Xenopus tropicalis: one gene and its partner. The protein of the gene in region 1 interacts with the protein of each later gene in a pairwise test. Links are inferred from orthologs where the notes say so. Each region holds a gene or a part of one and is shown in the gene's direction. Other genes may lie near its edges.

The links.
Region 2: the proteins of gorab (region 1) and scyl1 interact in a two-hybrid assay, tested with the Homo sapiens proteins (2 studies listed by BioGRID and IntAct). The link is inferred for Xenopus tropicalis from reciprocal best matches to the Homo sapiens genes GORAB and SCYL1.

Annotation. Positions count from the first base shown.
Region 1 is NC_030680.2:118,363,940-118,368,221, reverse strand, and holds the start of gorab (RAB6-interacting golgin), read left to right. Parts: upstream 1-1,283; 5' UTR 1,284-1,328; coding exon 1,329-1,392; intron 1,393-4,282.
Region 2 is NC_030680.2:33,683,763-33,687,593, reverse strand, and holds part of scyl1 (N-terminal kinase-like protein), read left to right. Parts: intron 1-1,053; coding exon 1,054-1,212; intron 1,213-2,127; coding exon 2,128-2,235; intron 2,236-3,831. UniProt on the Homo sapiens protein: Regulates COPI-mediated retrograde protein traffic at the interface between the Golgi apparatus and the endoplasmic reticulum. Involved in the maintenance of the Golgi apparatus morphology.

The DNA of each region.
Region 1 (4,282 bases):
CTTCATTCTAGAATCCTCCTCCTCTGAGCATACCCCTACACTGCTGAAATCCATATCATGGCTTCCCATAAATCAAAAAATAACTTACACCTTCTTATGACTTTTAACCCCCTTCATTACTCTGAACTTGAATGGTCTGTCTCAGGGATTCTCAAACTACGGCCCGTGGGCCAGATCCAGCCCCCCAAGGTAATTTACCCAGCCCCCACTGCGTCCTCATCCCTGGCTACTACCTGTGTACAGATGCAGTGGGGAGCAGGGAGTGCGCTGTAGTTTGAGGATGCGGGGGGGGGGGGGGGGGACTACGGTCCAACACACAAACAGTCTGAGGGACCATGAACTGGCCCCATGTTTAAAAAGTTTGAGGACCCCTGGTCTATCTGATAAATTAATTTTGGTAATTTTCTCAAATCCTATATTCAGGTTTTCTGGGGAGGACTTCTCCCACTGCCCAGTGACATGAATAGGAGACACAGGCAATGACTGGCTACTTCATGGATCATGGATCCCATTGGTTGACACATTCTAGTGAATGGGACCAAGCATATGAAAATAAAGAAGGCATGTGTGGTACAGATCAACGTGCCCCCCCATTCTGCTCGTCACATCACACCAGGGGTGTCAGAAATCTAGCTTTGTCAAGAGTGGGAAGCTAAACATCACTGTAATGCACCTTTCTGGGTATAATATTAAAAATGCTGTTTTATTTTGTTAGTGAAAACCAAATAGTAGATATTGTTTAAAATGGAAAAAAATATTTATTTTCTTAAACTTTTATAAAGGTGAACATCCCCTTTTACACAGTAATATGGCTGTCATTGAAATTTCAAATTGCTCTGTTCACTAAATTCCAACGATTCCAAGCAGAGATAATGACTGAGGTTATATATATATATATATTTGTATTTTCTCTATCGTAATTTAATCCACGCCAGGCTGACAGGTTATGCTGGAGCAGCAGGTATGTCGCCCTTGACCCCACTAGACACAACTGTGCTGGAACGTTTAGCTAAATTTACAGAATATTTTTGCTTTACTGCGCAACCATAGCAACGAGAAGCGTGTTCGAATATGTGCCTGATAGTAACATGGAATCCATTTTCATTTCATTCATTGTCTTTGAATTAAGGTATTATGTTCTCATGACTTTCGATTCCATGAGCACCACGCCAATATTTAATGGCTCGGCGTTTCATCAGCAGGAAAATGTACTGTATCCCTTTGTGTCAGGCATTCTCCCAAACAGCCTGAGCAGCGCTCCCTGAGGGGAGGGGCCTCTACGTGGCAGGGGAGGCGGAAGTAGGGCTGTGTGCTGGCAATAGGGAAACATGGCTGGCTGGGCAGGATTCTCCGAAGAGGAGCTTAGGAACCTTAAAACGAAACAAGGTACAGGTAGGGCATTGCACATTACTTAGATCTGCATTGCGCCATCCTCGCTGCGTTATACTTATGTCAGATAGATAGATGTCAATATATAACATGGAAACCCTGCCACACTAGATAGATATGTGTAAATAAATATATAGACACAGCACTCGTACGTCTTTATAACAAGTTGATATTATGGTTAGACTCATATCTAGGAGTCGATTTTGCACTAATAAAGGATAATATCAATTTCTTTTAAAGACCTGTGAGTGCTGTGTCCATTCCATGGTTATAGTTTGTAGTTTGATATCTATATCTGGCACCCAGGCATTTACAAAATGTTTTCAGAGTGTGCCCTTTTTTTACTATGGTGTGTGTGTATATATATATATATATATATATATATATTAGTCTTGTAAAGAATCGGCACTCCCCAATATCGGGGTAACGGCTGGGTGCTGACAAAAATAATGCATCAAACTCAACAGTAGAAAGCACTCACAGCTATAGCGTCAATCAAGTCAGTGATTTATTTCAGCATACCATCTACGAGTTTCGATCACCACAGGATCGTCATCAGGATGATGTGTGTATATATATATATATATATATATATATATATATATATATATATATATATATAGGCAGGGTTCCCATGTTATGTTTTATGTTTACACGCAGCTATATATATATATATATATATATATATATACACAAAGGATGGCACACCACTACATAACATACCTCGGGTGCTCGGTAAAGGGTTCCAATAGTATAAAAAAGACCAGCAACCCCCGGGATTTCTTGTGAAAAATCAAAACATATATTCAAAGTAGCATAAACGGCCAACGTAATGTTTCGGTCCCCACCTGAGAAAGGTCCCGATGAGGGACCGAAACGTTACGTCGGCTGTTTATGCTACTTTGAATATATGTTTTGATTTTTCACAAGAAATCCCAGAGTTGCTGGTCTTTTTTATACTATATATATATATATATAATATATATACAAACACACACACACCTATCTGTCTGTTAGGTGCGTGTGTGTTTGTTCGTTCATGGTTAGGCCCAAACGTAAAAGGATTGCTCTGTAAAATACTCCTCCCAGTACACACAATATTACAAATTTGTAAAAATACATTATTAGCTGTCCAATAAACATGGAGCTGTCTGCTGCAGTGTGCCAGAGTTGCTATGTTTTATGCTTTCTTGATTCAAGCCCTGTTATGAGCCCTGACATTTGGTACTGGATCCCCCTATAGCTTATAACAGCATTAGAGATTTATGACAACATTGCTGTATCAATCATTGTGTAAGGGCAATGTGACACAGGGCTGGTGCCAGGGCAGTGTTTAAATGCCCATAATCACCCATTTAAATAGGTATTTGCTTGGACCCTACCAGATCACTCATGAGTCAGCTGATCATGTGGAAACGTCACTGTATTTTCAAGCGGAAAGTCTTCTGAAGTACGGTTGCCATCTTTTCTGTAAAATGAAATACCGTTCTTCCTATATTCTTAATCTTCTTCCCTATTAAAAACATTAACAGCAAACATCATTTTTACTGGCCAGGCCAATGAAATACCAGTTGAGGTGTAAATAAGAGCATTTTGCTTCCTGCCTCAGAAGCAGAAAAATTCACAGGAGGCCAGTCGCACTGATGCCACTGCCCTTCAAGACTGAGAATAAAATGTTTCATTGAAATCTAACTGATTGTGCTTACAGCAGTATCTAGGAGATCAAACAGGCATTCTCCCCAAATCTCACTGTAAGAATTTGAGGCTGTCCACTCACCACTATTAGGGGCAGCCCCAAAGTTTGGGAACTGTTGATTTAGAAGGCAACTCACACCAAAGAGGTCTCCAAACACAGTCATAACATCACTATTATATAAATCTTGCAAGCTTTTGTTTAGCTTTTTTTCTCCCCAATGACGGTTAAAAGGCATGTTTATTTTTCCTGTCTCTGTGCTTGAGGCTTGACCATGCATAAAGTTGCCGTGTGTGTTACACTTCTCAGACAACTGAAGAATATGAAGGGTATTTACCTTTATTTCACATAAGCAAACAAAATCATACATTATATATATATATATATATACACACCACACATTTTTATTAGAAAACTAATATTTAAAGGAAAAATACATGTCACTTTGAACCACCTTTATAGATACTAAAAATAAATCCACTGTGTTTCACTTGAAGTATTCCTATTCTGCAGTGAAAAAAAATCTCATAACATTCTGTCTGACCCAATGTACTACAACTTTCCCCATCTATAAGGATCCCTTGGCCCTCATAGATATTGTAAATGCTTAAAGGTATAAAAGGCCTTAAAACAATTTAATTAGAGCATGTGAAGGAATTTAGTTCAAGAGTTCCCAGTAACTACTGACATTTTATTAAATAGTAATTATAGTAATTGTGTGCTTATATTATACAGGCATTTTGTTGTTAACATATTAACAGCTATGATAATACCCAATGGGTGGAGAATGATGGAAATAACACTGAATAAGTAAATACTAAACTCACTTCATGCCAAGCTGCTAAACTGTGAAAATAAAACATATACTTAGGTGGAATGTGTTGGATTACACCTATACCAAGCATGCTAGTTATGCATAAATTGTATAAAAGTGTCAGGCTATATGATTATATAGTGAGACAAACACTGGCAAATGCCAATATTACCCCAGTGGTTTATAGTGATTTGAAAGTAACGTTACAGCGATGTTCATGATATGAAACATTTTTAGCTTGTTATACCCATTATTGACATTTCTGGAGTGAGGATTGGCACTGCTAAGGGCGGGACATGTGTATAAAAAAAAATTCACCACATGACAAGAATACACACACACACACACACACATATTAACAGAGTTAATATTTATCAAACTGCAAC
Region 2 (3,831 bases), about 85 Mb from region 1:
CCTGATCCAGTGGGACAATCAAACATTTCCAATCGACACCTGGATGATTTTTGGCCAGATATCTTTTGGGGAGGTTTGTCGGGGGGGCAAATAAGTTGCCGAATCAGTCTACAGGGCTCGAATCGGCAGCTTAAATCTGACCATGTATGGGCATCTTAAATTGGTTCCCCTCCCCCATCTTTTCCAGCTAACCTAGACATGCAGACACCTCAACTGCAGCTTATGCCCCTACTGAGAATAATTCCTGAATTTAAGGGGAACTCCATCCAGTTAAAGAGAATGCAACTCTAAGAAACTTTTTTTTTTCTAAGAAACAAGACAACTCCTGCTCTTTTCTTTATTCTCCTGATTAACCTCCCATAAGATATTTTTTCAGTGTCCTTTTTAGTGAACCATAGCCTTCAGAGAGGGCTCCAGAGATGGTCTAAGTCAATGATCCCCAACCAGTGGCTCGCAAGCAACATGTTTCTCACCAACCCCTTTGATGTTGGTCCCAGTGGCCCCAAAGTCTGTGCTGATTTTTGAATTTCTGACTTAGAAGCAAGTTTTGGAGGCAATAAGATCATGTGTACTGCTAAACAGAGCCTCTAGTAGTCTGTCAGTCCATATTGGGCTACTCTTTAACAAATCTGAGTTCTTATTGGTCACCTTTTAGGAAAGTTTTTGTGTTTGCGTTGCTCACATGTCACAGGTTGGGGATCCCTGGTCTATACATTGGCTCTTCCTATGAGCAAATCGCGCTTACACAGTTGTGAGACTGACACCAGTCCTTTTTGAGATCCTTTTCAGACTGCTTGTTTGATGCCTAGGAATTCCCTCTGAGTAAGCAGGCCATTGTCCTGCCATCTTTGCCACAGGCTCTAATTTTCAAGCATATTTTGGTGTCTTTAGGGGATCTTGGGAATTGAAGTACTAGCAGTTCACCTTGGCAGACTTCTGCCCAAGCACACTCAAGCAATAGATTAAAATAAATTACCTGTTATGAACAAATTGAAAACAGACAGCTTGGGCTAGGGAAACTGCCCATTTAACTTCTCGTTCTTGTTTCCTTAGATAAAGGACCCAGCAGAAAAGCAGACGTTTTTTGAACAGCTCAGTGAAAACTTAGACTCCTTCCCTGAAGATTTCTGTCGACATAAAATCCTTCCACAGCTGCTGACAGCATTTGAATTTGGCAGCGCAGGCGCTGTTGTTTTGCCCCCACTTTTCAAGGTAAGGTTGGTTCTCACAATGGTAGTGTGTGCCTACAAATTCTTATATTTCCATTTCCACCCTGAGATTCTACCATCTTAAAGTTAAAGGGAAAGTGCACTTTCAGCTTTTAGGGCTCTGGCACACGGGGAGATTAGTCGCCCGCGGCAAAACTCCCTGTTCGCAGGCGACTAATCTCCCCGAGTTGCCTTCCCCTCGCGAGTCTTTTTCGGCGATTTGCGCGAAATCGCGCCGCCGCGTCTGCCATCCCGCCGGCGACTTACATTGTCGCCGATGGGATGGCAGGGGAAGGCAACTCGGGGAGTTCCAGAGCCCTTAGCGATACAGACCGCTATGTTTCCAACATGGCCAAACACCTTCAGACAATTGCATTGCGGGTGGGTATGTAGTAATTTGTTGCCACCCACTGAGCTATAATTCACACTATTCAAACTAACTTGGATATGTACCATTGTTTTTAGTTTGCATTCTGGTTGCTATGGATAATGACCCCAACAGGGTAGGGAAAGGCCATAATTATATATATATATATAAATTATATGCATTATTAACAATATACAATGCAGTTACTTTAACTTATAGTAGCTTGTACACATACTTAATTCATTTCTAAGGTGCACTTCTCCTTTAAGGTGTGGTAGCTTGTGTTAGATGTTTATGCCATAAATAAACAGGCACAGTGAGCGGTTTTATGTGACGTGGCAGTGCATTACTGTGTCTGAACAACATATCAAGTATTTGCTAAGGCAAAAATTCTGCCAGCACTTGTGACAAATGTGGAAGTGTACTCTGACTCACCCCCTCCCTAATTTGGTTTGTTCCAAAGCTTTAATTTCATATTGTATTGTTTGCCGTACTGCAGATATGCCCAGAGCATAGCACAGCAGCATTTTAACATTTCGTGTGTTTTTATAGATTGGGAAATTTCTGAATGCTGATGAATACCAGCAAAAAATCATTCCAGTTGTAGTTAAAATGTTTTCCTCCACTGACCGTGCCATGAGGATACGACTTCTGCAGCAGGTGTGTGCCAGCCTCCTTCCATTGCTTCACTGTGCTTTGTTAATATGAAACCTGTATGGGTCCTTATGTGTTTTATTTTCACCAACTGCACTGCTCATATGAAAATAAATGTCCATTCCTTTTACTTTCTAGTCAGCACTTACTAGATGTCACTACTCTTCATCTCATCTGCATAGCCAGTGCATTGGATGGGCATTAGGCCCCATTCTGGCACATACACAAGATTTTGGGGTGATACAAAGCTTGCCTTAATAAGTATCCACAAAGTGGCACCTTCTTGCTGTGATTGTGTAATTCCAAGATGGAAGGGAACAAAATATAAATAACATATATAGTGTAAGTAAAGTAAACGATTGAAAGGGATTTAGAATTATTTCTTAGGGTGGCAGTAGTAAGTAGTTACAATAACTCTCATCAATTCTACATTCACTTATTTTAAAGTTTTACTTATCCTTTAAGTATAGGATTGGGTGATATAAAAGACAAGATGATTCTGAAGGAGAACAAATGCTATGCAGGGTTTTCCAGAATGGTAAAGGATAGTAATGGGTTTGTTGTTGCCAAACTTCTGGATATAATAATTCTGTGATACATTGATATACTAAGCAATTGGCAGGTTGCTAAAGTGCTGCTGTTCTTTAACTTTCCTCAGCAGACTGTAGGCCTGTTAGTGTGCCTTATGGGGGAGGCATACTATAGAAAATATTGGAATTTAAAATACAGGAAAATACAATTTTCTAAAAACAGAAGTGATTCTAAAACCTAAATCATAGTACAGGTATAGGACCTGTTATCCAGAATGCTCAGGACCTGGGGTTTTCTGGATAAGGGGTCTTTCTGTAATTTGGATCTCCATAACTTAAAATCATATAAATATTGAATAAACCCAATAAGATTGTTTTGCCTACAATAAATTTACTATACCTTAGTTGGGATCAAGCACAGGTACTGTTTTATTATTACAGAGAAAAGGGAATCATTTAACCATTAAATAAACCCAATAGGGCTGTTTTGCCTCCAATAAGGGGTAATTATACCTTAGTTGGGATCAAGTACAGGTACTGTTTTATTATTACAGAGAAAAGGGAATCATTTAACCATGAAATAAACCCAATAGGGCTGTTCTGCCCCCAATAAGGGGTAATTATATCTTAGTTGGGATCAAGTACAGGTACTGTTTTATTATTACAGAGAAAAGGGAATCATTTAACCATGAAATAAACCCAATAGGACTGTTCTGCCCCCAATAAGGGGTAATTATATCTTAGTTGGGATCAAGTACAAGGTACTGTTTTATTATTACAGAGAAAAAGGAAATCATTTTTAAAAATTAGAATTATTTGCTTATAATGGAGTCTATGGGAGATGGCCTTTCCGTAATTCAGAACTTTCTGGATAATGGATTTCTGTATAAGGGATCCAATACCTGTAATAGCAACCCTGCAGCGGCAACAAGGTGAATGTCCTGTAACGGCCCAGTCAGACCTCTCATCTCGATCCAACTGAGAATCTTTAGCACCATTTTAAAACTAAAGGCCATACTAGTAATTCAGCTGTAATCTGATAATAAAGTACATTAAATCTTTATTTTTATGT